Zea mays: one gene and its partner. The protein of the gene in region 1 interacts with the protein of each later gene in a biochemical or structural test. Links are inferred from orthologs where the notes say so. Each region holds a gene or a part of one and is shown on either strand. Other genes may lie near its edges. The genes, in order: regulatory protein viviparous-1 and uncharacterized protein.

What was found.
Region 2: the proteins of regulatory protein viviparous-1 (region 1) and uncharacterized protein form a complex in vitro, tested with the Arabidopsis thaliana proteins (2 studies listed by BioGRID, with this or other methods). The link is inferred for Zea mays from reciprocal best matches to the Arabidopsis thaliana genes ABI3 and AIP2.

What each region holds. Positions count from the first base shown.
Region 1 is NC_050098.1:164,986,917-165,000,277, forward strand, and holds regulatory protein viviparous-1, read left to right. Parts: upstream 1-6,057; 5' UTR 6,058-6,203; coding exon 6,204-7,718; intron 7,719-7,944; coding exon 7,945-8,037; intron 8,038-8,679; coding exon of another isoform or gene 8,680-8,682; coding exon 8,683-8,780; intron 8,781-9,880; coding exon 9,881-9,927; intron 9,928-10,036; coding exon 10,037-10,113; intron 10,114-10,392; coding exon 10,393-10,635; 3' UTR 10,636-11,030; downstream 11,031-13,361. UniProt on the Arabidopsis thaliana protein: Participates in abscisic acid-regulated gene expression during seed development. Regulates the transcription of SGR1 and SGR2 that are involved in leaf and embryo degreening.
Region 2 is NC_050097.1:188,438,152-188,450,405, forward strand, and holds the end of uncharacterized protein, read right to left. Parts: exon of another isoform or gene 9,152-12,254; intron 9,127-9,151; exon of another isoform or gene 8,876-9,126; coding exon 8,795-8,875; intron 8,716-8,794; exon of another isoform or gene 8,060-8,715; intron 7,215-8,059; coding exon 7,001-7,214; intron 6,902-7,000; coding exon 6,660-6,901; intron 6,224-6,659; coding exon 6,014-6,223; intron 5,910-6,013; coding exon 5,760-5,909; 3' UTR 5,648-5,759; downstream 1-5,647. Other genes in the region: AT-rich interactive domain-containing protein 4, read right to left, coding at 649-702, 1,219-1,410, 1,501-1,665. UniProt on the Arabidopsis thaliana protein: E3 ubiquitin-protein ligase that acts as a negative regulator of abscisic acid (ABA) signaling. Mediates ubiquitination and subsequent proteasomal degradation of the transcription factor ABI3.

The DNA of each region.
Region 1 (13,361 bases):
CAATGCAAGAGGAGCTCAACAACTTCACAAGGAATGAGGTATGGCATCTTGTTCCACGTCCTAATCAAAATGGTGTAGGTACCAAGTGGATATTCTGCAACAAGCAAGATGAGCATGGTGTGGTGACAAGGAACAAAGCCCGACTTGTGGCCAAGAGATATTCACAAGTCTAAGGTTTGGATTTCGGTGAAACCTATGCACCCGTAGCTAGGCTTGAGTCAATTCGCATATTACTTGCCTATGCTACTTACCGTGGCTTCAAGCTTTATCAAATGGACGTGAAGAGTGCCTTTCTCAATGGACCAATCAAGGAAGAGGTCTATGTTGAGCAACCTCCCGGCTTTGAAGATAGTGAGTACCCTAATCATGTTTACAAACTCTCTAAGGCGCTTTATGGGCTCAAGCAAGCCCCAAGAGCATGGTATGAATGCCTAAGAAATTTTCTTATCACTAATGGCTTCAAAGTCGGTAAAGCCGATCCTACACTCTTTACTAAAACCATCGCAAATGATTTGTTTGTATGCCAAATTTACGTTGATGATATCATTTTTGGGTCTACTAACAAATCTACTCGTGAAGAGTTTAGTAGGATAATGATTCAAAAATTCGAGATGTCAATGATGGGTGAGTTGAAGTACTTCTTAGGATTTCAAGTGAAGCAACACCAAGAGGACACCTTCATCAGCAAAACAAAGTACATTCAAGACATACTTACCAAGTTTGGAATGAAGGATGCCAAGCCCATCAAGACACCCATGGGAACCAATGGGCATCTCGACCTCGACATGGGAGGTAAATCCGTAGAGCAAAAGGTATACCGGTCAATGATAGGATCTCTACTCTATTTATGTGCATCTCGACCGGATATTATGCTTTCAGTATGCATGTGTGCAAGGTTCCAAGCTGATCCTAAGGAAGTTCACCTTAGGGCCGTGAAAAGAATCGTGATATATTTAGTTTACACTCCTAAGTTTGGTCTTTGGTACCCCAAGGGATCCACTTTTGATTTAATAGGATATTCAGATGCTGATTGGGCAGGGTGTAAAATTGATAGGAAGAGCACATCAGGGACTTGTCAGTTTCTAGGGAGATCCCTGGTGTCTTGGGCTTCAAAGAAACAAAATTTAGTAGCTCTTTCTACCGCCGAAGCCGAGTATATTGCCGCTAGGGCTGGGCAAAAAACTCGTAACCCGAAACCCAAACCCGGAATACCCGAACCTGAACCTGAAATACCGAACCCCGAATTTTGTTTGGGAATTTCGGGTAGCAACTTGCAAAACCCAAATTTATTTCGGGTAATTCGGGTATCACAATCGGGTACCCGAAATACCCGAACTTTCATGTGTCATGTACTCATGTCATGCTTAATTATTAATTTGTGCATCTATATGTGTAAGTGTGCATAACTTGTGATTGTAGATTGCTTGTGTTTTATATGTCCATGTATATCATTATTCAAACTATATTTTTATACTAATTTAATAAGGTGTATGTGTTTTTATGAAGCCGACATAATAGTTCGGGTAGTTCGGGAATACCCGAACTCGAAATTCCGGATACCCGAATTTTCGGGTATTGCAAAACTCGTTGTAATTTCGGGTATCGATTCTCAAAACCCGAAATTTTAAAAACCCGAAATACCCGACCCAAAATTTTCGGGTAACCTGAACGCATACCCCTAATTACCGCAGGCCATTATTGTGCGCAATTGCTTTGGATGAGGCAAACCCTCAGAGACTATGGCTACAAATTGAGCAAAGTCCCTCTCCTATGTGACAATGAGAGTGCAATCCGTATGGCGGATAATCCCGTTGAACACATCCGCGGTAAGCACATAGCCATTCAGTATCACTTTTTGAGGGATCACCAACAAATGGGGGAAATCGAGATTGCTTATGTTAGCACCAAAGAAAAACTAGCCGATATCTTTACCAAACCATTAGATGAGAAAACCTTTACCAAACTTAGGAATGAGCTAAACATTCTTGATTCTTGGAACTTTGATTGATACTTTGCACACATAGCTCATTTATATACCTTTGATCATATCTCTTTTATGTCTATGACTAATGTGTTTTTAAGTTTATTCATATGCTAAGTCATAGATTGAAAGGGAAATGGAGTCTTCGGCGAAGACAAGGCTTCCACTCCACTCTATCGGTATTATTTACCCTTCGCCGTCACTCCGCACCATTCTCCGCTATGGTATAATCTTCACTCATATTTATTTGTACCATTGGGAGAGAAAGTTAAAGGGCTCTTAAAAGACTCCGTTTTTGGCGATTAATGCCAAAGGGGGAGAAATATTAAGCCCAAAGCAAAAGGACCGCACCACCACCACATTTCAAAATTTCTTAAAGTATTTAAAGAGGATTTTTCAATTGGTATCTAAATCTTTTTCATACTGGTAAAACCCTCTTGAACACTAAGAGGAGAATTTCATCCAGGGGGAGCTTTGTTTAAGTCAAAGGAAAAGCATTTGAAACAGGGGGAGAAATTTCAAATCTTGAAAATGCCTTTTGAAATCTTATTCATGTACCTTTGACTATTTACAAAAAGAGTTTGAAAAGATTTTCCAAAAGAATTTGCAAAAACAAAACAAGTGGTGCAAATGTGGTCCAAAGTGTTAAAAGAAAGACAGCAATCCATGCATATCTAGTGAAAGTATAAATTGGTTTAATTCCAAGCAACCTTTGCACTTGCCTTATGCAAACTAGTTCAATTCTGCACTTATACATTTGCTTTGGTTTGTGTTGGCATCAATCACCAAAAAGGGGGAGATTGAAAGGGAAATAGGGTCAAACCTTTTCCTAAATGATTTTGGTGGTTGAAATGCCCAACACAAACAATTGGACTAACTAGTTTGCTCTAGATTATATATTCTACAGGTGCTAAAGGTTCAACACAAACCAATAAAAAGATCAAGTTAGGGTTCAAAAGAAAGGAGCAAAAGAAACCGAAGAGAACCCTGGTCTGGCGCACCGGACTGTCCGGTGCCCAGGGCCGTACTCCTTCAAACATGCCACCTTCGGGTTTCTGGAGAGCCGCTCCACTATAATTCACCGGACTGTCCGGTGTGGCACCAGACTGTCCGGTGCACCAGCGGAGCAACGACTATCCAGCGCAACGGTCGTCTGCAAAAGCGTGAACAATGCGCGTCAGAGTCAGAGCGCAGAGTCATTACGCACCGGCCACTGGACAATAGCTGTCCGGTGCGGCACCAGACGGTCCAGTGCGATATGAAGTCAGCGCTCCAACGGTCGAAACCGTCAGAACCCTAACGGTTGGGTGACGTAGTTGGCGCACCGGACTATCCGGTGCGCCCATTGACAGACAACCTCCCCAATGGTTGGTTTGGTGGTTGGGGCTATAAATACCCCAACCACCACCACTCAAGGCATCCAAGTTTTTTCAGACATCTCATTCAATACAAGAGCTAGTGCAATCAATACAAGACACAATTCAAAAGAATCAAAGCCTCTCTAAGTCCCAAATACACTCCAAACACCTAGTGACTAGAGAGAGAGTTTTGCTAGTGTTCTTTGAGCTCTTGTGCTTGGATCGATTTCTTCTTCCCCATTCTTGTTCTTCAAAGCACTTGTAATCAAAGTAAGAGACACCAATTATGTGGTGGTCCTTGCGGGTTCTAAGTGACCCGGTTGATTAAGGAGAAAGCTCACTCGGTCTAAGTGACTGTTTGAGAGAGGGAAAGGGTTGAAAGAGACCCGGTCTTTGTGACCACCTCAACGGGGACTAGGTTCTTTGGAACCGAACCTCGGTAAAACAAATCACCGTGTCATCCGCTTTATTTTTTGGTTGATTTGTTTTCGCCCTCTCTTCCGGACTTCAATTTTATTCTAACTCTAACCTCGGCTTGAAGTGTGCTTAAAGTTTGTAAATTTCAGTTTCCGCCTATCCACCCCCTCTAGGCGACTTTCATCCTCCCACCCGCTCGCTTTCCTCTCCATCGAGCTCCTTGCATCTCCACAATTGTGGAGTAGGAGCTCCCCGACCGTGTCCAAGACGAAATTAAGACGTGGAGGCTCTGCTCTCTCGGCTGCAGACACAACGCGGATGGTGCGACAACTTCATCTAAGGAGTGTCTGTCGTGTAGGCTCTGGTCCCCTCCCACGCCCGTAAGATGGCATCATAATTTTTAGCTTATAAGTTCATAAATCACATAATAATATCATCACATGTCAAGAGTTTCTTTATATTTTGGGTTATTCGGTCTATTGGGACCAAAAACTGAACCCTAACCCGTACATATGTACTCCTGAATTATAGCAAATGTAGGAATCAAACCCAAACCCAAACCCAAAACCCAATATAGGCTGACAATTTAGTTTATTTGGGTTCTGCTCAGGTTTGGGTTCAGTCTTCAGTTTAAAAATGCCACCCCTAATCTTGAACAATGTAAATATGCAAAGTAGTGATGAACTCAACCCTCGGGTTTAGGTTGAGTCTAGCAGTAGCCGATATCCTCTCATGTACGCTAAATATAGGGGAGGTTATCTCTCCTATCTACTCTAACAATGTCCTTTAAATTTAGAGGACGTTCGTCCTCTATATATATTATCTGCCCTCCCATCTACCCCATTTTAATATTTTAAACAAAGATTAATAACTTAAGATATGTAAAGGCTAGTTCGACAACCTTTTTTCAAGTGATTTCTATTTTCCAAGGAAATTAGTTCATTTTTTCTAGGGAAAATGGAAATCTCTTGGAAAAATGAAGTTACCGAACTAGCCCTAAGGATATAAAAATATGTACGTGCAAAAATCTAGAGCAAAATATATCTCTAATATAAGTATTTATGTATAGATGGTGAGATATAGAGGACACTGATGAATAGAAATTAGATATGGATGAGAGAATCTTTTAAATATTACTGTAAAGTAAGGATATATTGGATGTTGCGTCTTAGGGTGTAAAAATAAAAAATAGAGTTTAAACTATAACGTTTAGAACACAAAATTTAAACTAGTAAGCTTACTGCTTTGTTGTGATATTTAGAATGTGCCGTGGCCCACCTGAACCAACGCCTCCAAAAAAAGTCCAATTGTGGGTTTCTCACGTTTGCATAGAGAAATTAATTGCGCCACCTTCCAAAAGACAACCACATGAAACCTATCAAATTAATCTTCCACCATAAATATATTGTCATCAAAATATCTTTTTGGCATAGCTAGCAGACCCGAAAATTCGGTTGACACCATATTTAAGAACGCCAGTCATCTTTTTTTGTAAATGCACAGGTGGGAAAATGCTAAAAGAACATAAGTACATAGAGCCAAAGATGAAGTAAGAGGAGGACCGCAGATTAATAATAAAAAGCCCGAGGAGTTTGCAAAGGAACTCCTACTACTAGTACAATCCACCCATCTAAGTATACTACACGCAAAGTTCCCAAATAGAAGGGTTCCACTTCCACGTCGTCGTGCCCGCCTTCAAGTCCCCGAATCACCCACACCGTGTAGGTTCCGCGCGTGCGCGTAGAGAAACTCCTCTGCTTCGTAGACAAGCCAGTGGCACCATCCTGGAGCTTCCGTCCGTGGGATCACGCAGAGACTGCATCGGACGGTCAGGAATCGTCCCAACACTCGGGATTCAGTCGGCGCGCCGGCGACACGGACATCCTACGGCGCCGAAGCAGCTACGCGCACGCTGTTTTCTCCACGCACGGGCTCGCGGGGCCCACGCCTCATTGACTGACCAAAAACATGGGCGCTCTCTCGTTTCCGTTTCTGGAGCAGTCAAATTAGAACGCGGCGAAGAGGCGAGACCTGAAAACACACAGACACTGACATGTTGGACAGCATCGCTCGGCCCATGCCATAGACGGGTCATGCACAGAGAAACCTAATCAGTAATAGTTTGTGATACCTCTATGACAAAGTGGGTCCATTATCTTCAGCCCCACGTCTCCGAGAGAGGTATAGGGTGCGCGCCAGGGGTGAGAAGTATGGTGGCCGAGGAGAGGCTGGCGTGGGCGGTGGAGCGCTCCCCTCGGTCGCCACGTGTGTCACGCAGCCGCATCTCGGTTCCCTCCTCTCTCTCTCTCTTCTTCTCCCTCTCCACCTCCTGCTTGCACTGTTCGTCTCCTCAGTAACTGCACCCACCTCCACACCTACACCCGAGAGGCGGCGGCGGCAGACACAGACACCGTCTCTCTCCTCCCTTTGTCGTCGTGTCTCTCTGCATGGAAGCCTCCGCCGGCTCGTCGCCACCGCACTCCCAAGAGAACCCGCCGGAGCACGGTGGCGACATGGGAGGGGCCCCCGCGGAGGAGATCGGAGGGGAGGCGGCGGATGATTTCATGTTCGCTGAAGACACGTTCCCCTCCCTCCCGGACTTCCCTTGCCTTTCGTCGCCGTCCAGCTCCACCTTCTCGTCCAACTCCTCGTCAAACTCCTCCAGCGCCTACACCAACACGGCAGGAAGAGCCGGCGGCGAGCCCTCCGAGCCTGCTTCGGCCGGAGAAGGGTTTGATGCGCTCGATGACATCGACCAGCTCCTCGACTTCGCGTCGCTTTCCATGCCGTGGGACTCCGAGCCGTTCCCGGGGGTTAGCATGATGCTAGAGAACGCCATGTCGGCGCCGCCGCAGCCGGTGGGCGACGGCATGAGTGAAGAGAAAGCCGTGCCGGAAGGGACCACAGGGGGAGAGGAGGCCTGCATGGATGCGTCGGAGGGGGAGGAGCTGCCGCGGTTCTTCATGGAGTGGCTCACGAGCAACCGCGAAAACATCTCGGCCGAGGATCTCCGCGGGATCCGCCTCCGCCGCTCCACCATCGAGGCCGCCGCCGCCCGGCTCGGCGGCGGGCGCCAGGGCACCATGCAGCTGCTCAAGCTCATCCTCACCTGGGTGCAGAACCACCACCTCCAGAGGAAGCGCCCGCGCGACGTGATGGAGGAGGAGGCGGGCCTGCACGTCCAGCTCCCCAGCCCGGTCGCCAACCCACCAGGATACGAGTTCCCCGCCGGCGGACAGGACATGGCCGCGGGCGGCGGCACATCTTGGATGCCCCACCAGCAGGCATTCACGCCGCCTGCTGCGTACGGCGGCGACGCGGTGTACCCGAGCGCGGCAGGCCAACAGTACTCTTTCCACCAGGGCCCCAGCACGAGCAGCGTGGTCGTGAACAGCCAACCGTTCTCCCCGCCGCCTGTGGGCGACATGCACGGCGCGAACATGGCCTGGCCGCAGCAGTACGTGCCGTTCCCACCGCCTGGGGCTTCCACGGGCTCTTACCCTATGCCGCAGCCGTTCTCCCCCGGATTCGGCGGGCAGTACGCCGGCGCCGGCGCTGGCCACCTCTCAGTGGCCCCCCAGCGCATGGCAGGCGTGGAGGCCTCGGCGACCAAGGAGGCCCGCAAGAAGCGCATGGCGAGACAGCGGCGCCTGTCCTGCCTGCAGCAGCAGCGCAGCCAGCAGCTGAGCCTGGGCCAGATCCAGGCCTCCGTCCACCTGCAGGAGCCGTCCCCTCGGTCCACGCACTCCGGCCCGGTCACGCCGTCAGCAGGCGGCTGGGGATTCTGGTCGCCGAGCAGCCAGCAGCAGGTCCAGAACCCGCTCTCCAAGTCCAATTCATCAAGGGCGCCGCCTCCCTCGCTGGAAGCGGCGGCGGTGGCGCCACAGACAAAGCCCGCGCCTGCTGGTGCTCGGCAGGACGACATTCACCACCGCCTCGCAGCGGCTTCAGATAAGCGGCAGGTGCATGCATGCGTAGCTTGGCATCGCTAGCCAGCACGAGATCTATACCAATCTGTGTTCTTGCGTTTGCTCCGAATAGAGAGAGACGCACATCGCTGTCGAGCAATAGAATCGACGTGCGCGTGTGCCGTACGCTCGCTCGCGTACGGGTTCGATGCGTGTGCTCCTCGGGTGTTCACTCACGCGTATATGGTTCTGATGGACGAACATGTGTGTGGGATTGCAGGGCGCCAAGGCGGACAAGAACCTGCGGTTCCTGCTGCAGAAGGTGCTGAAGCAGAGCGACGTCGGGAGCCTCGGCCGCATCGTGCTCCCCAAAGTGAGACAGACGCCGGCCGGCCCTTCATGATCTGCATCATATCTATACCCCCCACTTGCGCATATAGATCTATCTACTTAGGGGGTGTTTGGTTAGAGGGACTAAAGATTAGTCTCTAGTTTTTAGTCCCTTTTAGTCCCTTTTTTGCCAAACACTAGGACTAAAATATGGACTAAAATGATTGCCAGTAGAATTAAAAGCTCATAATTATCATGTTGCCCTTACCTTTTTATAGATAACTAATATCATGAGTATATTCTAAGGGTATTTGAGTCTTTGGACAATGTATTTAATGACTTTAGAATCTATTTAGTCCCTAGAACCAAACATATAGGGACTAAAGTTTAGTCCTAGGACTAAAGTTTAGTCCTAGAACTAATTGAAACCAAACATGCCCTTAGCTTGCATTGCGCGTGCATGCATGCCTGTTGCATCAGTTTGGTCACTTTCTGTTCTTGAACTAACTAAAATCGGCCATGGATAGGTCATATATATAGATCTACGCATATATACCAAAGCTCGCAAACTGCCCCTGAATCTGTTCTTCAAAACCGCCTTGCCTTTTTTAAACTGAACTGGGCCGTGGTTGGTTTGGCATCTCAACTAAAAATCGTCGCCTTGTCTTGTTTTTGGACGATTCAGAAGGAAGCGGAGGTTCACCTGCCGGAGCTGAAGACGAGGGATGGCATCTCCATCCCCATGGAGGACATCGGAACGTCGCGCGTGTGGAACATGCGGTACAGGTGAGTGTGTGTGTCATCATTGGTCTAGGGACAGACGTCGAGCATCCATAAATTAAATCCAGTTGCTGGCTGCTGTTTTCCTCGAATCTGTTTCTTCTCCTTCTCCTTTTCCTTTGTTTGTTTGATTGATTGATTGAGAGCTGCTGCCTGCAGTTCGTGCATGGTCGTCTACTGGGGGCAGGGAGAGATATATAGGTAGTATACCACTAACCACTGGGCCAGAGATAGTAAATGGCATGAGTACGACATCTGTGGCATGGTCCCTTTCTTTCCCAATTTGGCAAGTGGGTCATATGAATATAGTGTACGATGAGAATCCGAGGAGCAAATAGTGGCATGCACTCGTCTACACGGAATTCTGCACGCAATAAACATGCATCTTCTCCAACTTGCTGATAAGCCTGATATATAACATACCACTACCACCAGGTCAGGTGATATTTGTTCTGAAAATGGCATCTTCTGTTCGGTCCAAAATATGATTGCCAGGACACCACAGTAAACATGGTCTCTCAGTCCAGGACACCACAGTAAACATGGTCTCTCAGTCCTCCGGATCTCTCGTTAGTACAGCGAAGCTCTATAGTGATGTTCCTAGAGCTATTTTCACTGGCGTTTTTCAGTGACGCCAGTGCTAGGGGCCAGTAGAATTCGAATAAACAACTGACCCCTAGCACTGACGACACTAAAAAACGCCAGTGCAAATAGCTTTAAACCGCCACTATAGAGCTTCTTTGTACTAGTGTTTGGCAGCTAGGTGCACATCTTTGTGCAGCAGCCATAGTCGCGTTTTTTCTTCTTCGTCGTCGTCTTGTGGCTCTTTCTTCTGGTTTGGCTTTCTCATACTAATGAAGTTTATTAATCTTTAGTAATTCGAGTTGCGAAAATAATAATAACAACTTGTTCCAGTAGTGCAGGTTCTATGAAAATGAGGTAACTGTTTTTTTGGATTCTCATATGATCTGGTGATGTTTTTTTTCCAAAACTGGATTACCTTGCTGAAAACTAAAATTATTATTCATATATACGGTATAGTATCGACTGTTACCAGTGCAATGTCAGTGCTTTCATCAGCTGAGCTCCTTATTGCATGCACGCAGGTTTTGGCCCAACAACAAGAGCAGAATGTATCTGCTGGAGAACACAGGTGAGAGGATCTTAACGTTATGATTTCCATCCATCCGACCTTGACAACGATTCTTCGTCGTTATGGTCTGTCTGATCTTTTTTTCCTGTTTTTCTTTCTCAACCTGCAGGGGAATTTGTTCGTTCCAACGAGCTTCAGGAGGGGGATTTCATAGTGATCTACTCCGATGTCAAGTCGGGCAAATATGTATGTTCTTCTATTGCCGACTATTTCCTTGCTACATAATGCTCGTTTTTCTGGTCCATATGCCTGCATCATTAGTCAACTCAAACGTGTTGTCGTCCTTGAAACTGCAATCCAAATCTACGCAACCGTTTTGCATGCCACTGTTTGTATGTGGATGCCTGGATGGCAATCAAGGACATAGTGGCATCTTTTGATCTCGCTGTTCATGGAATTGGTTTACTTCAGCAGCAACTCATCAAGAACCCTGAAACCCCCCTTGTGTCCTATATATATCCACAGCTGATACGGGGCGTGAAGGTAAGGCCCCCGCCGGCGCAAGAGCAAGGCAGTGGTTCCAGCGGGGGAGGCAAGCACAGGCCCCTCTGTCCAGCAGGTCCAGGGAGAGCCGCAGCCGCCGGTGCTCCTGAAGACGCCGTCGTCGACGGGGTCAGCGGCGCCTGCAAGGGGAGGTCTCCGGAAGGCGTGCGGCGGGTTCGGCAGCAGGGAGCCGGCGCCATGAGCCAGATGGCGGTGAGCATCTGAAAGAGCAGCAGACTCCGCCATATATTGATCGATCGACCAATCGATCGTTAGTTCTCCAAGTTACTATTAGCTAGCTATAGCTCGAAACAGCTGAACTGATGATGACGATGGTAACCTCCGTCGTGTGTGCTAAGCATGTAGCGTGCTAGGAGATGATATATTAAATATAATCGAGTAGTAGAGCCACCCGCTGTGTGACGCTAAATTTGTGTGCATGGTTTGGTTTGTGAGTTGGGCCCGTGCGTGGCTGTGTCATGTCGTGGTTAATTAGCTATACTAGTCCTGTCTGTACATGCATGGACATACCTGATCTCTCGGCCATTGGTGTCGGCGACGTGCCATTCGGCTAACAAGACGACAGCTGCAGCCTGCAGCAAAAGCTAGAACATTCTACACATGCCTTCGTGTATGTTATGCTTTGTAGTTTCCTGGATGCATGCATTGCATATAGTGGTGTCCTGCTTGGTTTATGCCCAAAATTTGTCATACCAAAGATTTAGGAAGACAAAATCCGATAAAAAATAATCGTTATACATTTGTCAAGCCACAGGCAAATATGAGAGGTTGAGAGATTTTGGTAGCAAACCAAATAATAATAGTCACGAACCAAGATTTGTCAAACGGAATGATAGTATGAACCAAAATTTGTCATGCATGCCAAGCCAAAGCCAGATTAAAAAAAATCTGTTATGGATTTGGCAAGCCAAATGTGAGAGGTTGACAAGTTCTGTAACAAACCAAATGATAGCTAAAACCATAGCTTGTCAAATGCTTGGCTTGACTTAGCAATCATATTTTGAAAGCCAATTAACTAACCGCGCACCCAACTTTGTTGCAAGCATGGGTTGCTTTTTTTTTTCCGAACAAAGCGTGCATGGTGGTTGCTTTTTTATTATTATATATAAACAATGCTGATGGAACGAAGCACAGTGGTGATAAGCGATGAACAGAAACGACCACCATGCGTGTGTATATATGCAGAAAAAAAAGGTGGGTGGTTCTTTCCTAAAATTATTTATGTGTATAAACAGGAAGGAAAGGAAGGCCACACATGCTGCATCTGCATCACGCACGGCACCTAACCTGCTGGTTGATTCCTGATGCGCCCCTAGATTCCTCATCTGGACAGGACAATGGACGACGACGGGGCATGCATGGCCGGGACTTCGTTCGCTGCGGCGAGCCGGCGACCGGGCTCGACGGATGGAGTGGATCCACACCCGTGGCCAGCAGCCCCGCGCGCCAGGCTGTCCGTTCGTCGCCATGTGCGGCGCTGGCGTTGGAAACATGACGTGATGGCGCGCTCGGTTCCGCCGGGGAACGATATGTTAAACTAGTATACATCCCCTGTGCCGATTGGTCGACGGAGCTCTCTCCGGCCGCCATGTGCCGCCCGCCGCCGCGGTCGATCGACAAGCTTCCTTAGATTTATTTGGTCAAGCCCTGCCGTCTTATTGCTTGCAGATCGGACAAGATAACACATCACTCAAAGAAAATAGTCATTGTGTTGTTGCTGTTTTTCTCTGAAAAATATTGTCTGTACTCCTTTTTTTTGAACTTCGAAGCAAAGCTCTTGCAGCCCTTTAAAAAACAAGGAAGTATGATACAGTGAAATGCAGACACTCTAGCAATACACGCGCATTCACTTTTCTACCATGGACATGTGCACGCTCGTTATATATACTCCCAACTATATGAACAACAGTATGTGCCTTAATTCGAAGACTGTTCAGTACACAGTACTGCACCCGTTACAATTTAGATATCATTTTAGCATTTTAAATATATAACTTTCACTACATATCTAAATATATACTATGTCTAGATATATTTTAAAAGTTATGTATTTGAAAACCAAAATAACTTATACTATAAAAGAGAGGGAGTGTATGTTGAGTAATTAGACAAATTCCAGTTTAAATTCCGAATATAAATCATGACCAAATCAGAAGAACTGAAATAACAAGCCAAAACAGATGATGCGTACTGATTAGACTTACTGATAGATGGCACGCGCCGGAATCAGCAGGGTCGACGATGTCGAAGTAGCGAAATCAGCAGATCACGAGCAGTCGCGTGAAGACGCTTCCCAAAAACCTTATTCGCCCAAAAACCTTATTCGCCCTCTCCCGGTGCAGGATCTAGAAGACGAAGGGTTCCGGAGACCTGACGAAGGGAACTAAAAGACAGCTCAGATATGAAGAGAGGCGAAAGCGAACTGGGATTATTTGGAGGCTGGCTGTCGGGCTCCTTTTATAGGGCTGAGTCCGCAAGGCGAGGGGCCGGATTTCGGCGGACCATTCACGCGCATGTCGTGCGCCCGCGCCCTTCGCCCCGCCCCGCCCCGGCCAGGCGAGGCGAGGCGAGCGAGCGCGCGCGCGTGTGGCTCTCCACACTCTCTCCTCTCATCCATGACTTGGTGAGTGAGTGTGGCTTCCATATTTAAGCTAGCTCTACTCCACTAGAGCTAGCAATATGGTGCTAATGGTTCCACCTATCCTTTAGCCATCCTCTTGTATGGGCTTTTGAGATTTTTCTGGGATTTATTTGAATTTCTTTATTGGGCCAAGCCCATAAATCCTAACAATCCCCCACCAGATCTCAAATGTCCATCTGCAGTTTTCGCCACTGTTCACTATTGTTTAATATACTAGTTTTTTCAGCAGAGACTGTTAAGTTGAACTTCCGCCTAGAACTCCAAGCTACACCAACCCACAACTTGGACA
Region 2 (12,254 bases), on another chromosome or scaffold:
CCAGAACAATAATATACGTGATAGGTTAGGGATAGCAACAATTGAAGAAAAGCTTGTCTAACACCAATTGAGATGATTTGGACATGTCCAACAGAGACCTCAAAGCCACCCGTGTGTAGTAGGATCCTAAGGCGCGATAGTAATGAGAAGAGGCAGGGGAAAGCCAAAGTTGACATAGAAAGAAATAGTAAAAGGAGACTTACAAGGATGGAATATACCTAAAGGTTTAGCCTTGAATAGGAGTGAATGAAAAACAGCTACTGACATGCCTGAACCATTATTTGAGGTTTCTGATAGATTTGAACTCTAGCCTACACCAACTTGCTTAAGACGAAAAGGCTTTATTATTGTTGTTATATAGTGAGAATCTTCAAATAGAAGGGTTTGGGGTAGATAATTGAATTCTAAGAATCTCATTCAGTCATTCTAGAATCTAATTATCATTTTTAAGAGATCCAAACAGGGCCTAACAGCAGCATGACATTGTTGTCAAACGAAGAAAAGCATACTAAAATGAACAATCCGAAGAAAATATGGCTACTTTGCCATGTGGCCATCTCCAAGAAAACATGATCTATGAGTAGTGGACAAACAGTAATACTCAGGTTGTTTGAAGAAATGCAATTACTGTACAGGGAAACTATCTACCTTTGAGTGAACTGCTTGGGCAAGTTTTTCACCAATAGGAACTTCCAGATATACCTGTATTCAGAGTATGGTTATCAGCAACTGTAAAAATGTTAAAAAGTAAGACCCATGTGGCAGTACAACCAAGATGTTGGAATATCACAGAAGTTACACAAAATAAATGTTCCATATGTGTTCCTGTGAAGTAAATGAAACAAACCCTTTTTTAGGAACATTGCTTTCCGTATATATTTACATCATCTAAACGGAACTTTTTATGTGTAGGATATGATACACGAGACAGTCGAGTACCTACCTTTTTGTATTGGATTCAGCTCTAGTACTTAACCTATTCAAGTAGTTGCAACATGTGTAGCATAAGACGAGACAATCCTTTGTTGTATGATGCAACGATGGAACAAACACATGGCATAGTGACTTCAAGTTCATACAACAGAATTTACCAAAACTTCATAGGTTGTTGATATCACATCCTGGTATTTGCAGTTTAATTGGCAGCTAAAATGCACTGGCAAGCTAGCATATTGCCTAACAAGTAATAACATTTACACACACTAGAGTAGAGCTTACTATCGTTGGGAATGGTGGGCTGATAAGAGTGCTAAACGCCTGCGGATCAGAGACATCGGCGTCCCCCCACACAAGTGAGCCAATCTCCTTCTCATCCTCAAGCTGCTGACCCTGGATGTACAAGAAGTTGGGCTGCACCACCCGCTGCGCCTCGAGGAACTGCTCTGGTGTAGGATTAAACAGTGTGTGGACCTGCATTCAGAAGCCCCTTCATTCAGCTGATAAACAAAGGAGGCAAACTGCAACGAGCGTGCGCACTCAAGCAAGGAGCAAACAGTTGACCTCCAATCGCCCAGCTGAGCTGAGCTCCGGGAATGGGTAAGACGGCCGTGGCCGCTTCGCCTCCAGCCCAGACTTCGCTGCTGGTGCTCGCTTCTCAGCATACTTCCCACACAGCACCACAAGGAGCACACAGTTGTTCCGCGAGAAGCTTTGGATTTGAGACATGGCTGGCAGGCCGGAGCCTCCCTGGCGGCGGCCGCGCAGGAGAAAAACCTCCCCTTGAAATCAGAAATCAACCCCACTTCTTCATGGACCAAACCCTGGGACACAGAAAACGCATCAGGAATCCCCCAAATCCCAACCAAATCCGCAGCGAAACTCACGAATCTGAGCGTGCGGCCTTACCAAGACGCGATTTTGCGGCGCAATCGGCAGCGGCACGCCCTCAATCGACGGCCGGGAAGGGGGCGGATTCGGTGCTGGGAGATGGGGGCAGCGAAGGGTAAAGTGCGCGAGAACAAACGGAGCCCTAGAAGATGATTCGCAGAAATAGATAGATACTGCAACAACGCGAAAGCAAATCCCACTGTGGAGGCAATAAAAAAGAGGAGCCGTCTCTGCTTGTGGTGGTGGCGAATCGGCCCACGCCCTTATGCAGATCCAGACAAACAAAAACAGCGCAATCCACAACCAAGAGGGGCGAAAAAATCTGTCCAAGAACCGGAACCAGAGCTGAAGCGGATTAACGGGCGACGACGACCACGGGGATCAGGCGAGCGGGCCTCATTAGCAGCGGCAAACAATCACGCATCACAGAGACAGAAACTTTGGAACAGTCTCGGCTCGACCAGGGAGGCGTCAAGATTGGATTTTTGACGGGTACGGGGAGGTCAGTCCGGAGATTCTCCCGGACTTCTCAGATTTTCGCCCTAACCGCCTGCCTGCTCACACGCATCGCCCAGCTTGATGAGGAGATTAGATGAGTTGATGTGCGCCTGCTCTCTGCTGTTGCTGGTGCGTTGTTTTCCCTGCGCCTTTTCGTTTTCTCCTTTTTCCTCCTCCGCTTCATTACTGCTGCAAGCCAGGGACGGCCGGAGGAAAACAAACGCGGATTAAAAGATTAGGAGTTTTGGGAGCAGGATTGGTGAGGGGGCAAAATAATCTCTTTCTGTGAGAATTGTTTTTGCTGGGATCGGAATATCGGATGCTGGCATGCTGCTACTGCTTTTGCTGTGCAGATCGATACGGTGTGGCCTGTGGTGTGGCGTGGCCGCGTAGGGTTGTGATCCAGCTTGGGCTGCTTGGCGCTCGCCGCTCGAGCGGTCGAGCATGCAGGGTGGGTGTGCGCGTGTATTGCAGCTCGCGATCGCGGCGGCTTTGGCCATTTGGGTGGGGGTGCCTGTGTTCGTGGGATCGTGGGAGCAAATGGCCCGTTTGATCCGTTTATGCGTGTTCCTAATAGCAAGCAACGGTGGAGCGACCGCACAGCATGAGGAGCCCTTCGGTAGAGCTTCTTCCCTTCTCGCTATCACCCACTTCCGCTTCGGCCACTCGATCTTTTTGCTATTATAATTAGAGGCGTCAATGTAGAGATAGTGTTGAAAACGGACGAAAAAAATCCATACCTCGTTTTCGTTTCTGCATTTTATCATTTACCGGGTACAAATTAGTTAGGAACAAAAACGGAAGAGGGATAAACGAGTTAAATGGAAACTGAAATTTAAGTGAAAACTTGTATTCTAATACAAACATATGATATTTTGATAGCTAACTGGTAACTGACTGATATGGCAACAATATAAAATAAATAGATATAGAGGGGCAACACTCCATTGATATTTGCTTGCTAGTGGTGTACGTATAGCTACAATCGGTTTTTTGAGCTTTTAGGACACATGTCGTTAAAGAGAGCCGGTGGCTAAAATGACCACTTATGTTATAATTTGTCACCTAAGGATATGAGGCTTCAGCTAATGCACTAATGTATATTGGGATGGTCTCGGATTCTCAAAATACGAGTTTAACCCGAATAAAAACGGGCAGGATAGACCCTCTCTCGTTTCTGTATCGTTTCCGGTTTTTCCCGTAAATACGAAAACAGTCAGATCAAATATAGAAAACAGTACGGGTTAGAATGGGATTTTACTCCGTCCGTTTTCACCCCTTGGAGGAGTTATGGTGCGGTTCCCAAGCACCACGGAGCTGAGCCGTTTAACCGCTTTGAGCTAATTCTTGCGAGGAGCGAAGCAGAAAGAGCGCTAAGAGCAACTCCAATAGTTATATAATTTTAGCTCTATAAATCATAGATTTAAGAAGTTGCTAAATAACTTTGGGAGTAAAAAAATGTGAGTTCTCCGATAGTGAAGTTGCTAAATGGTTATATAAGGATTTGCTCAATTACCTTCATTATCTACATAATGCAATAAACATTTTTGTTTAGGGAGTTGCTAAATGGTTGCCAAATGTAGAGAGGAAATAAGGTTAGATGAGAAGTTGTTAAATTTAGAAAGTTCGTTTAGAGAACTGTTGGAGATGAGTTTTGTGTTAACTACTTAAATTGTTGAGTTAGGAAGTCTATTAGAGAACTACTGGAGTTGCTCTAACAATGGGACCTTAAGTTAGCAATGCAGCAAAGTTGATGGGCGGTGATCTTGGTGCCCCTGCACTAGATAAAAAGTGCTCCTCCCAAGGTGGCAAGGAGCCAAAACCGTTTTAGAGACACAAATCCTTATCATTATAATCATGGGCGGCCCCAGGGGTGTTTCATGGGTATTCATTGAATACCCATGTTTTTGTGATCTATAGTGTTAGAACACTAATTTGTCAATAATGTATTACATAAAATAGCGTTAGAACACTAAATTCTTTAATCTTTTGAATTTTTGAATACCCAATCTCAAATGTCTGGGCCCGCTTCTGATTATAATGTACCCGTATATCCTATAGTTCTGAAACAATCTTATTAAAGATCAAATGATGATCAAGTACAGAACTACCCTCTTACAACTTATGCATGTATAACTTTAGCTTCATATGTATCTTGCTTGTCAAATCCTTAGGCATACAAATATACTTCAACTTGAGCCATAAGACAACTACAATTTTATCTTGCAAACAATTTGCAAAAATATTATTTGGAAGACGAGGTCGGATTTGAGTCAAGGCTTTACAATCTTTTCTCATCTCATTGGTCCAAGATTTTAAATTATTTTTATTAAATTTAACAAGAGCACCATTGACTTTAGCGTGCATAAGAATAGCCCTCAACTACATAAATTGAGGTGTAACCCTAGCAAAAAAATATCTACAATCCGGTATACAGCTTGTGTATGTTTAGCAATGAATTTGAAATATTTTGGTAATTTCCTTAAGTGTGCGCAGCAAATAGGTTGATTTGTTTTCACTAACGATCAACGGCAGCAAGACAAGAGAAACTTGATTACTTTCTCGATTCACGTGATTGACAGGAAACATGGTAGCATGGATTTGAGACAACGACGATAGAAAATTTTCCTTCTCCATTTGTAGATGGATCATACACCGGTGACTAAAACCAACTATACCTCTCGGTAGTAACTTTTGCAAATGAATCGGCATACCACCAATCAACAATGGCATAAAAATTGACTCCATCTCGAAGATGCTGAACAGTAGATTTAAACATATATGACAACGCCACGAAACTTGCAGATAGATTGAAACAATAGAATTTTTAATCTTATGTTTGGTTCTGACACCACTTGTTAGTTTATAATGCAAATATAAACCAAACACAAGGCTTAAAATTTTACGTAAAAACCTTCACGAGAAAAAGTCACACACGCCAAGCTAGAATCTCTATTTTACGAGGAGAGTGTATAAAATACAATAAATGTAATAAATCATTTATCTTCTCATAGGACTTACAAGATAGATATATATAAGAGGACTAGTCACAGGGGTTGAAAATTACACGCATCAGCCAACGCCCATCACACCCCAGTCACTGTCATAATCCTCCTCGAACAACGGTTGTGCCACACTATGACACTATGCAAGATCTGCTACTCTCATTCCAAAAACCGTCAAGCTTATCCGCTTCGTCTCTGTGTGTCAACATACTATGATTGCCTATCGACTTTTATTGATGACCTGCTATGCGTCTAGGCCTACAAACAAACTAGATGATAAGATAAACGAACACAGATAGGGCATAGCACAAATCAGAGGTAATAAGATCGCAAGATATTTAACTCAAGCATAAGTAACTAGGTATATATATATGTCAACATGGTAATCACGAAGTTCATCAAAGGGATTACATTCTGGAACTGTTGAGTTCAGATATAAATGAATTCTCCACCCCTAACAGCATTTGCCGCACCCCTTCTATCTTCTTCCTCTTCCCTTTCACGCTCCTTCCTGCTCTCATACACATGGTCATCCGTCCTCAGCTCATGCCGGCAGATAGGGCAGGAGTTGTTCTCGTCCTAAATGAAACAAAAAAAATCACGATTGGTTAGATATACCGATTGCAACAATGCTGCTCCTCTACTTCAAGCCTATTTATCTGCAGGGTTCACAAGAAGTTTACCAGCCATGGCTTCAGACAAAGAGGATGGAAGAGATGCTTGCAGGGAAGCTCCTGCATCTTGTCATCCACAACCAAGTTTTCGCGGCAGACAGCACACTCCGTCTCACTACCCAATCTAGACATGACTTCCTCGGTAACAGCAATGACAGGAAGATTGGCGACAACTTCCTTTGAAGCCGGGGGTGCCCTCTGTGGATACTCAATGATTCCCTGGCATTAAAATGTAAACTCGATATCAGTATTTTCACATCCTATTATAGTTCCAGCTATGTGAAGCAAACATACATGGCAGAGTTAGAAAGTTGTCACATAGAGAAGCTGCTTGACTACAAATTGTACAGCTTAGATCCTTTCCCACTACATGCAAGGTCCAATTAAGATAATAATAATAAACTTAAAGAGAATAATTTCCTCATCCATCAAAAACATGATGAGACTACCTCTGCTTTGAGCAAATCAGTACTATCACTTGAGTGCAGGCAAATTAGGTTTACAAGGCTAGTTTGTCATGAGATTGGATAAACTAAAGATCATAAGCATATAATTGTGCGCCCTTCTTTAGTTGGTTAAAAGACCTGACAAAAGACCTAGCAATGTACTAAAGAAGTAGATTCTCATGAAATGATTATTAAGTATTCATGCACACCTGCAGTGATTCTTCCAAAGCAGTTTCTAGATCCCTGTCGCCTGATATGGTTTCTAGGAGGTTCATTATAGCAGGTGTAATCTCCTCGGCTCTAGGCACTGTTCTGTTGTTGCTCCCATCTTGATCACCAGAGGATTCAGTTAGTATGCTCAATTCCCTCGTTAAATTCTGGGCAACAAGCCATGCTGGAGGTGGAGGTTCCTGTCCCACAGTAAGGTGCCCTTCAAAAAGAAATCTGGTGTCTGCGAAAAAGCAACATCTTATTAACAAATAGATATTGGTAATAACAAATTTTAAGAGATATTGCATCATTAAGTGCATAACAAAAATATGTTATGTACCTGCTTCTCTGTTGCTTGGCACAGAATCCTCATTTTCCTTTTCATCAAGATGCTCACGGGCCCTCGAAATGCAGGTCTTCAGGTGCTCCTTTTCAGCAGGATTACTTACCAGCTTCTCTATTCCAACGAAGAGGTTCAGACCAACATGCCAGAATCCTGGAGCTGTATATCTGGTTTGAAGCACTGTTGCAACGCGGCAAACCGTTGAATACATCTGCGGAAAATAACAATTGCTCAAAATAAACACAAAGATAATAGATGAGTTTCATAAAAAAAAAAGCGGGAGGGGGAGGGGGGACTGCCCCATGGCTTTGCAGTTTGCACTCAGTGAAACCGGTCCAAACCCCCCCCCAAAAAACCCGGCCTCACCTATAGGGACATACAGTAACCATGGTTGGTGAACACTGTCATTACCTAGCTGGCTGGTGCCACTACTCGTTGACCAACCACTACTAGCGTCTTTGGTAGATGACACTTGTAACAGTCAAGAGTGAACATAAAGGACATTCAAGGTCATAGCAGTCCAAATAAATAGGATATTATGTAATAATAACAATATAGGCATATAGTTGTACTATAGAATGCAAATTGATTGACAAAACCTTTTGCAGTTAAAAAAGAATCGCCAAAGGGAGCTTTTTACAACATTAATATGGATCAAAATGCCCACACAAAAAGGTGCTATGCCTTTTGTAGCTCCATGGCAAATATATCAATTTGTATATGTGTGTGTCATGCAGTAGCATATACAGTACATATCTTTCAATGTACCCCCTAGTTAAGCACATCAAGAGAAGTTACCATGACACGTTCTGCAGAAAAGTTGGCTACTGATACTGGGGTTGTGATGCTACTTGTACATGACCTTGGTTACAGCATTCCTTACATTATATAATAGGGTTAAAGGAAAGTGTCATGGATTGGGCTGCCAAATGGGCCTGACACGGACCAGGCTGCAAAATGGGTTAGTGTTATGCTTGCTATAAACTATAAAGGTTCAGAGCATATGCCAGCAAAGGGGATGGAACAGGACCAAGTATAGGCTCTGTCTTATCCTACCTCTGAACTCTGCTCATGTACTAGTTCTTGCTACCTGCCTCTGATTCCTTGTCATTTCATGTCTCCACATTCTGATTCTCTTGTGATGTATCTCAAACCACCAATTACTGCTATTGCTGAGATTTGTCGGTCTAGGACCCTGACACAAAGACCAATTACTGCTATTGCTGAGATTTGTCGGTCTAGTAGGACTCTGGCACAAAGATATGTCATTATTCAGCAGGCACTTTACTATAAGATCTAAGTTTTGACTTTTGACCAAAGCCATAGTAACACAGCGAGTTAAACCAGCCTTGATTTCATCATCTATTGACGAATGGGTGAGAATGCCTCTGGTTAATTGCCACGGAAACCCCATGACTAAGGGCCTGTTCGGTTTGAGGGGGACATAAGTGGATTAAATCCCTTCCTATTCAAATTTATATAGAAAGAGCCTCCGATCCCCTCAATTCACCCCAACCGAAACAAGTCCTAAGGGTGTTTAGTTTTTCTAGGGACTAATTTTTAGTCCATTTATATAAATTTAGCAGTTGCAATCGAAGCAAACCCATGTCCACGCACGCAGAGCTAGTGTGCTACGGCCTACGGTTCCATAGACATCGAAATTTGGTTTATGGAAAGCCAGCCGTGAGCCGTGCCGGCCACCCGAATTCGGAATTCCATCATCCAGAAGGCAACGAGAATTTTTTTTTTGTTTTGTTCCCGTGGATGCTGGAGAGGTGGGGTTTGCGTTACCGCTTTGCGGAGGGCTGGAGAGGCGCCGGCGTAGCGGTCCCGGACGGCGGCGGCGAGCTCGTTTACGGCCTCCTCGAAGTGCTGTGTGATGACCCGTGGCCGCGGCTAGAGTTCGCCGGGCGTGAGTCGGTAGCAGACCGGTGAAAAGAACGAAGCCAAGGACACCGGTGAGTTGGATTTCGATTTCTGTTTTTCTATCCCCTCTCAATCAACCAGTTACAGTATTTATAGATCTGAAATCCAACTAACAGAACGACTAATGACTTGGCTAATCACTTATTACAGCCCAAAGAAGAATAATACGGCCCTATTATGGCCCAAACCCTAATACTCAAAAGACCCACTAATACTCCATACCTGTGCCTAAACACCGCCACCTTGGGTCATCACATCTCCCCCAGCGTCAAAAGACGCTTGTCCCCAAGCGTGCGCTGTAGGAAACCTTGCCTTCACCACTTCATAGTCTTCCCAGGTAGCCGCATCGGCTGGAAGACCTGTCCATTTGACCAGCACCTGGACAATAGCATTGTTTCCTTTACGTACCATCCTTCGATTCAGAATTTGGTCAGGCTCAACATCCCCTTGGGACAGATCAACCAAGAGAGGAAGTTCAGTGTAAACTGGAGAATAACACGGGTGAAACGGCTTAAGCTGAGACACATGAAACACTGGATGCACCTGAGCATCGGGTGGCAATTCCAGCTTATATGCCACTGCCCCAACTCGAGCTATAATCTTGTAAGGCCCAAAAAACTTAAAAGACAATTTAGGACAAGGCCGATTCACCACTGTCTTCTGTGCATATGGTTGAAGTTTTAACAGCACCAATTCTCCTACTTGAAACTCTCTTGGTGTTCTGCCCTTATCAGCATATTGCTTCATACGCAACTGTGCTCTAGCCAACTGTTCCTTCAACATGGCAGAAAAAGCACTCCTTTCCTTGACCCACGTAGTGACATCCGGGTCCTCAATATTGATGAGCCTAGGGAGGGCTAGCATAGGAGCATCATAACCATATAACACCCTGAATGGTGTACAACCCAAAACAACATGATAAGTGGTATTGTACCAATACTCCGCGAGAGCCAACCAACTCTTCCATTTGGTGGGCTGAGAGTTGACAGCACACCGGAGATACATCTCCAAGCATTGGTTCACACGTTCACTTTGGCCATCAGTCTGTGGGTGATAGGCTGTAGACATCAACAGCTTGACCTCCATCAACTGAAACAGGTTCTTCCAAAAACTGCTAGTGAACACTTTATCCCTGTCAGATACCAGCGATTTGGGTACGCCATGTAGCTTAACCACATTGTCCAGAAAGACTTGTGCAACACCCTTTGCAGTAAAAGGATGTTTCAAAGGAAAGAAATGGCTATATTTCGAGAATCTGTCCACCACCACTAATATTGTATCAAACCCTTCCGACTTAGGCAAACCTTCAATGAAATCCATAGTCACATCTTCCCACACACCCTGTGGTACCGGCAAAGGTTGTAATAACCCAGCTGGATGAGTTCTTTCACTCTTGGCCTTTTGACAAATTGCACACTGTTGCACAAACTGGACCACATCTGCCTTTAATCCCCTCCAATAAAACACTTTCTTTACCCGTTGATAAGTTGCCTGAGTACCAGAATGACCACCAAGGGCACTATCATGCAAAGCTGCCACCAACTTGGTTCTCAGAGCAGAATTAGCACCAATCCAAATCCTGCCTGCCTTACGAATAATGCCTTGATACAATGAAAACCCATTCTCATCAGGACTGCGCACCAACAATTGAGCTATCAACTGTTGAGCTTCAGCATCAGTAGCATAAGAATTCAGCACCTCCTGTACCCAAACTGGTTGCACTTCAGAAATGGCAGCCAAGTCCAATACTGAACTCCTCCTGGACAATGCATCAGCAACGACATTCTCTGCCCCCTTTTTATATACAATCTGAAATTGCAATCCCATTAACTTGGTCATAGCCTTCTTTTGAAGATCTGACTGCAATTGCTGGTCTCCCAAGAATGTCAAAGATTTGTGATCTGTCTTAATCACAAATGCACCCCTCTGCAAATATTGCCTCCACTTATCTACAGCCATAATCAAAGCCAAAAACTCCTTCTCATATATAGAAAGATGTTTGTTCTTTTCTCCCAGAGCTTTACTAAGAAAGGCAATGGGTCTGCCCTGTTGCATCAACACCGCTCCAAGACCCACATCTGACGCATCTGTCTCGACTGTAAAAGGCAGATCAAACCTGGGCAGAGCAAGAACCGGTGTTGAAGCCATAGCCTGTTTCAACTTATGAAAAGCAACCTGAGCATCTTCAGACCACTGAAACACCTGTTGTTTCTGCAACAGCTTAGTAAGAGGTCGAGCAATAATACCATAATCTTTCACAAATTTCCTGTAATAGCCTGTTAAACCTAAGAATCCCCTCAATTCCGTCACATTCTTAGGTTGTGGCCAGGACAACATAGCCTCAGTTTTACTAGAATCTGTAGCCACCCCATCTCTTGAAATCACATGACCCAAATATTTGAGTTCATGCTTCACAAAGGAGCATTTCTTCATCTTTAAGAAAAACTGGTGCTCTCTCAGCTTGGCCAACACCATCCGAATATGTTGATAATGCACTTCCAAACTAGGGCTGTAAATGAGAATATCATCCAAGAAAACCATAACAAATTTTCTGAGAAAAGGCTCCAACACTGAGTTCATGGCACACTGGAAACTAGCTGGTGCATTAGTGAGACCAAAAGGCATTACTCGAAACTGATAATGGCCATGATGGGTTTTAAAAGCAGTCTTGTATTCATCCTCAGTTCCCATTCGAATTTGATGATATCCTGCTGTCATGTCAAGACTGGTAAAATACTGTGCACCAGCTAATTCATCCAGGATCTCATCCACCATAGGCATAGGAAACCTGTTCTTTATAGTCATTCCATTTAACTTCCTGTAATCTATACAGAACCTCCAGCTGCCATCTTTTTTTTGCACAAGTAAAACTGGAGAAGCAAACGGACTGACACTAGGGACTATCAACCCTGCTGCTAGCAGTTCAGCAATTTGCTTTTCAATCTCAGTTTTGTGAGCTGGAGAATATCGATAAGGCCTTGAGTTTACTGGAATAGACCCTGGCAACAGAGGAATGTGATGATCATAAGGTCTGATTGGAGGCAATTTCGAAGGCACAGCAAAAACATCTTCGAATTCCTTTAAAATCTCCTGTAGAACTGCATCATTTGTCCCAATTGTGTCTTCTGAAACCTGCTCTAAAAGCACAAATACCCAGACTTCCTCTCCCTTCATCCATTTCTCCAGCTGCAACACAGATACTTGTCGCACTTCCTGCACTTCTCTAGCACCACCCTGTAACCTGACCGTCTTCCCTTGATCAGTAAAGGTTAATACCTTGTTATTCCAGTCACACTCCATAGGACTGTGAGCCTTCAGCCAATCA